Linked DNA regions of Coturnix japonica. The protein of the gene in region 2 binds, or shares a complex with, the protein of the main gene of each other region. Links are inferred from orthologs where the notes say so. Each region holds a gene or a part of one and is shown on either strand. Other genes may lie near its edges.

Region 1 (3,196 bases), about 750 kb from region 2:
CCATGGGAGCGGGCTCAGGGGGGAGGGAGAACCAGATGGGAGGGGGCTCGGGGGGGGGGAAGGGACCAGGGGAGGGGCTCAGGGGGATGAACCCACCGAGGGGTTCAGGGGTGGAGGAGGAACATGGGAGGCGCCTCGGGGGGCAGAGAGGAAGAAACCACTTTTAGAGGGGGGGGGCGGGAAGAACCACGTTAGTGTCTTAGGGGGGAGGAAAACCATAGGGAGGCTGTCTCAGGAGAGGAGGGAGGAAAAGAAAACCACAGTTGGGGGTGGGGGAGGAGGGAACCAATGGGACGGGGTCAGGGGGGTAGGAGGAACCTATGAAGGGGGTCGGGGGGGGGTCGGGGGGGGAGGAACCGAGGGAGGAGGGCTCTGGGGGGAGGAAACCATGGGCAGGGAGGGCTCAGGCTGGAGAAACCATTTGGGAGGGGGCTCTGGACGAGGGGGAGGAACCAGGGGGAGGCGGGACCAGGGGGGAGGAAGGAAGAAACCACGTTAGGGGGGCTCAGGGGGGAGGGAGGAACCATGGGGAGGGGGCTCAGGGGGGAGGGGTCCCGGCCGCCACCCCCTTAGGTTCTCAACCCGCCCCTTCCCCAACACAGCAGCCGCATCGTAAAGAAATACCAACTTTAATACGAACCGCCGGATCCTTTGGTTATAGCGGGGCCGGGGCTGGGCTGCGCTTTGGCTTCGGGGGGGGGTCGAGGTGCATGCAGTGGGGACCCGGCCAGCTCCGGCTTTAAGGGAGGTGCCCGAGAAGGGGCTTGGCAGGACCTGGAGGGCATGAAGGAGCTGGCAGCCCCCCCACCCCAGCCCGGCTGCATTGCATATATGTGTGGGACCTGCGGGGTCAAGGCACAGTTACACATAAAGTGATCGGGTACATTCGGTGCGCGGCCGGCCGGGCCTTGTTTGTGCTTGGGGAGCAGAGCGCAGGGCACAGCCCTGGGTGAGCCCCCCCCACTCCATCCCCCCCACCCCAACCCCTCGGGGCTGGTGCTGCTCATGGGATGAAGCCTGGCCACCCCCAGTTCCAACCAGGCTGGAGCAGAACCCGGCCCTGGGCTGGTGCCCCCCAGTGCTGACACCGTATGGGGCCGGGATTTGGTATGAGCTGAGCAAAAGGCTGGAGCTGGGAGGAGAGGAGGGGGCTTTGGCACTACCAGCCCCCCGGCCCCACAGGCAGCTCACACCACGCTGCCTGCAGCCCAGGGCTGCCAGCTTCGTGTGGTGGTGGTGGGAGGGTGAGGACCATCCCCAAGGCAGTCCACGCTCAGCCCCGGCTGAGTCCAGGTGCTCCCCAGGGTGGGAAGCAGGGCTGGGGGGTGTGGGGGGGTGCGCACCGAGGCCCCCCTGGAGCTCACAGTCTCCTTTCCACTGGCTGCTGCAGGCACATCTCGCTGCCAGCTGAGATGATGGGCAGGTGATTGTCCATATGGTAGCTGATGAGGTGGCTGACGCTCTCAAAACGATGATCTTTTGTCCGGACCTGCAGGGAATAGGGAACTCAAGAGGCTGCAGATACACCCAGGAGTCCCCTCTATGCTTTACCAGGCCTCCTCCATCCCCTAAGCCAGCCCGGAGGTGTCCCCAAGGTGGGGTTGTGGGGAGATGTAGGGCCCCCCAAGCTTTGGGGTTATAGAGACTCACCACTCCTTCGGGGTCGACGAGCAGCAGGTGCTTGGGCTGCCCACCCTGCAGGCCGGTCAGCACGTACTGCCCCGGGGTGGTGATGCTGTCCCTCACCAGGAAATCTCCATTCACCTTCAGCAGTTTCTCAGCCTCTTTGCGGTTCATCTTCCTGTGATACCACGGTTCCCTCCTCAGCTGCTCCTCCATGGAGGCCACAACTTGGGCAGGAGGAACGGTCACGGGCACAGACTGGGGGGCACGAAGGGCATCTTCAAATGGCTCTGCAGGAGAAAAGGAAGGGGCTCCATCACACACCCAGCACAGAGTGCACAGCCTGCAGCTGCTGTCCCCACTCACTCATGTCGAAGAGGTCTCGCTGGGCGCTGCCGTTGGCTGTTGCAGGGCTGCCTGCAGCTGCTGCTTGGCGTGTCTTGTCCACGTTCTGCACGTTCACATAAGATGGGTCATCAAATAGGTCCGTACGGCCGGACGCACCCGCTGCAGGTGGGTATTTCTCTCTTCCTGCTGCACAAAGCGCTGTGGTCAGCAGCGCTCCGGCACCAGCACTTATTGCTGGAGCACTTTGGGACCAGGAAAGCCTATGGGGACCAGCCACATCCATCACATTACCTTGAGCGGGACCGTGCTGCTTCCTGGGGTCAAATTCCCCACCAGACGTCTGGCCAACAGGCTGTAGAGAGGCACATGGTGAGACCAAAAGACCTTGCTGTACTCTTACCCCTCCCCAAACCCCAGTATGGACTGCCAGAGGTGCTGGACAGAAGCGTGGTGTGGATTTTGTGCAGCCCACAGCCCCATTGGGGTCCTTGCATCTCCCCTATATAGCAGAACCTCCCCAGCAGCCCCTTGCAGACACGCTCAGCGCCTTACCAGTGTGGCCCCCAGGTGATTGGGGGTCTGCGCAGCTCCATCCCGCAGCCGCATGTCCACGACCCCCCCTATAGGAGGCTCCTTGCCAGGGAAGTCGTTGTAGTACTGGTGATCTGGGGCAGGCTCCTCCTCTTCCTCATCCCAGGCTGAACCATCAAACCCTGCCATCCTGGAAGGGAACAACACACAGCTGAACAGCTGACAGCAGCCAGGCCTGCATCCCCTCCCAGCACCAATAGACCTCATGGACCCCCATCTCTCCCTTCTCTTACCTGTCGTGGGGTGTCACCAGCTTCGGGGGGTTCTTTAGGTACTGCTTGAAGCGCAGCTCAAAGGCTTGTCCAATTGTGCTGATCACATCCTGGGCCAAGCCCTCAGGGCACTCCAGGATATGGCAGGCTGGGAAGGGAACAGCGAGATGAGAGCAGGATTAAATCCTACACCCCCTGATCCCACCCTGTGCACCCCAGAGATTCCCTGCAGGGACCCAATCCCTCTCTGAGCTGCACCCAAAATGGGGCTCTTGCAATTCCAGCCTCACCTCTCTGGTTGACGGGGTCTTTGGCAACGTAGGCGACGTACTCAGCTGTGTCCTGTGGGAGAGAGTGGTGATGAGCCAGGGCTGCTCAGTGCCCAAGACTTAGGGGAGAAGGCAGGAGAGGCTCTGATCCCC
Region 2 (2,605 bases):
ACAGCCGGGCTGGGGAGGCTGGACCGGGAGCAGGGGGCTCTGCTCGGCAGAACCATTAATGCCAAGTCCCATAACAATAATCATAAAAGCCACGTCTCAGAGCTCATCGCGTGGCCACTAAAGCGATGCCTCTGGCAGCCCCCCCGTCTATCAGCAATACCTGGGGGGCCAATCGAAAAGTCTCTGCTTATTCCAGCTGATGGCCAATCTCTCTCTATTTAAGCCTCTCAGACAGCTAATCTAATCAATATTGCAAGGAGGGCTGCATTAGCAGCGAGCGCAGAGCGGCTGTCTGAGCCGCGTTGATGGAGAGGGGAGGGGGCGAGGGGCCGGACCCACCTGAGGAAGTGGTTGAGGTCTCCATGCTTCATGTACTCAAAGACCATGATGAGTGGGTCACCCTCGCCACACACACCATAGAACTTGACGATGTGCTCATGCTGCAGGTTGGTCAGCAGCTCTGCCTCCCGCTGGAAGTCCAGCCGTGCGCTCTCGGTCACCTCCTTTAACGCCTGCAGGCACAAGGCGTTAACATGGCACTGACCAGCCCAGGACCCTCATCCCCCCCAACCCCTTCACCTTCACAGCCACCAATGTCTTCTCCTGCTCTGGAAGGAGGTGGGAACACTCAGCCAGAAAGACTTTCCCAAAGGCTCCCTCGCCCAGCTCCCACTTGAGCACAATGTCACGGCGCTGTACGTGGTGCACACCTGGGGGACCCACATCCATCAGCCCAGAGCCCCCACCGCAGGAGGACAATGGGGAGCAGTGGGGGATGCTGAGGCAGATGCATCCCCAGCCTTACAGGCATTGCAGAAGTACTGTGGGTTCTCAATGAAGTTGCTTTTCAGCCCGTCCAGCTTGCTCTCTGTGGAGGACACGGGGCTGCTGCCCAGGTTCATGAAGTGCAATGACATGGCCAGGTCATCCTCCTGGGCCAGCACGGCTGAGCCTGCAGGGACAGGGGCACATGAATAGGGCCATCACAGAGGGGTGAGGGGTGCTTTGTGCAGCAGTGCCAGGTGCTGCCGAGCATCCCCCCCCCCTCCAGCCCCAGGGGAAGTCAGTGCGATCAAACCCATTTGCAGGCTGAATCCATTCCAGGAGTGAATTAGCAGCTGCTGCCCGCACTGCTTGGCCCCGGAGGAGCCCCATTGCCACCCAGTGCCCAAGGGGGTGCCAGGCAATGGGGACCCATGAGGACCATTGCCCCATGGCTGTGCCCCTACCCGGTGCAGGAAGAGGGGACTCACGGTTAATGCCGAACTTGGAGCGACGCCCGCACTTGTTGAGCGCAATGAGCATGACAGAGAGGAAGAGGGAGGCAAAAACAGCCAAAGCCACAGCCACGGAGACCTGGGGACAAAGGGAATGGTGAGTATGGGGCTGGGGTCCTGCTGCAAAGCCAAGGACAGCACCCTTCTCCAAGCCCTGGAGGTGATTGCAATTCTACTGGGGAAACTGAGGCACAGCGGAGGGCAGGAGGCTGCCTATACCCCATCCCATCCCACCTTGCCTTGCCTCTGGTTTGCTTTCACTTTAAGGACTGCTTTGCTTTCCCACAGGTGTCCTCATGCCCCTTACCCCAAATCACAGGGCACCCCATCCCAGTCAAGTCCTCACCCCAAATGTGTGCTCATCCGCTGTCTCCATAGGGCCCTCCAAAGAGCTGTTCCTGGTACCTGTGTGGGGAGAGGGCACAGGGTGAGCGTGAAGTGGGGGCACATCCTCACTCCTGCACAATCACTGCAGCCTCATCATTGGGCATCACCACAGCTGGGGGTTAATAGCAGGGGTAGCAGCATGCCCCAGCACTCACCCAGTGGAGATATAGACACTGTGCAGCATGGAAAAAGGAAAGAGCACACATTAACCACCTCCCCCCCATAAGAGAGTCCCATGTTTCCTTCCCAATCCTTGGGGAAACTGAGGCACGGGAGGGGGACAGAACCCCTTGGCAAGGTGGGAATAGAAGTTTCGGTGCCTCCTGTGTCAGGATTAGGGCAGCACATCTCCTTCAGCCCCACTGTGACCCACCGGGGATGGGCTCCTCAGGGCTGAAGCTGAAGGGGTTATCCATGAAGCGGCCCTGGATGCTGCGGGTGGCTCTGCCCAGGGGGTTCTGCACCACGAGGGTGTAGTTGCCGTTGTTGACATGTGTGGGGCGGTTGAGCTGGAGGCAGCCGTGCAGCGTGGTGGAGTTGGGCTCATACTCCACAATCCGCGTATGGATGTAGGGCCCCTCAAGCAGAAACGTGCCATTGAAGAGCCAAAAGATGCTGGGTGCTGGGTTGCTGTCCACTGAGAAGGGGATGCACCAGAAGTGCTGAGCGATGGCCTCGTGCAGGAGCAGAATCACCGGTGGGACTGTGGGGACAGAGCTGCCTGTGTCCCCAAACATGCGTCCCCAAATGTGGGACCCCCAAAGCTGACCCTCATACCACCCCTGGCCCCCCAATCCTCCCTCTCTCTCCCCATCCCCTGGGTTGCTTACAGGTGACATTCAGTATCACGCTGTCCTCTGCCAGCCCCGCTGCATTCTCTGCCCGGCATGTGAGGTCCTTGTGGTTCAGGCTAGATGAGATGTTGTTGATCTCCAGGACAA

What was found.
Region 1: the proteins of NTRK1 (region 2) and SHC1 are in contact, whole or in part, in an NMR structure (PDB 1SHC), measured with the Homo sapiens proteins. The link is inferred for Coturnix japonica from reciprocal best matches to the Homo sapiens genes NTRK1 and SHC1. Residues at the interface, in NP_002520.2 of Homo sapiens: His489, Ile490, Ile491, Glu492, Asn493, Pro494, Gln495, Tyr496, Phe497; in NP_892113.4 of Homo sapiens: Met176, Arg177, Ala178, Leu179, Ser259, Ile260, Ser261, Phe262, Ala263, Ser264, Gly265, Gly266, Lys279, Asn283, Arg285, Ile301, Ile304, Gly305, Phe308, Glu309, Phe312, Lys313, Gln314, Tyr315.

The regions. Positions count from the first base shown.
Region 1 is NC_029540.1:1,438,543-1,441,738, reverse strand, and holds the end of SHC1 (SHC-transforming protein 1), read right to left. Parts: intron 3,117-3,196; coding exon 3,065-3,116; intron 2,923-3,064; coding exon 2,796-2,922; intron 2,693-2,795; coding exon 2,524-2,692; intron 2,324-2,523; coding exon 2,263-2,323; intron 2,158-2,262; coding exon 1,990-2,157; intron 1,914-1,989; coding exon 1,651-1,913; intron 1,490-1,650; coding exon 1,361-1,489; 3' UTR 614-1,360; downstream 1-613. UniProt on the Homo sapiens protein: Signaling adapter that couples activated growth factor receptors to signaling pathways. Participates in a signaling cascade initiated by activated KIT and KITLG/SCF.
Region 2 is NC_029540.1:688,349-690,953, reverse strand, and holds part of NTRK1 (high affinity nerve growth factor receptor), read right to left. Parts: coding exon 2,495-2,605; intron 2,368-2,494; coding exon 2,038-2,367; intron 1,683-2,037; coding exon 1,624-1,682; intron 1,357-1,623; coding exon 1,254-1,356; intron 953-1,253; coding exon 806-952; intron 711-805; coding exon 580-710; intron 513-579; coding exon 340-512; intron 1-339. UniProt on the Homo sapiens protein: Receptor tyrosine kinase involved in the development and the maturation of the central and peripheral nervous systems through regulation of proliferation, differentiation and survival of sympathetic and nervous neurons.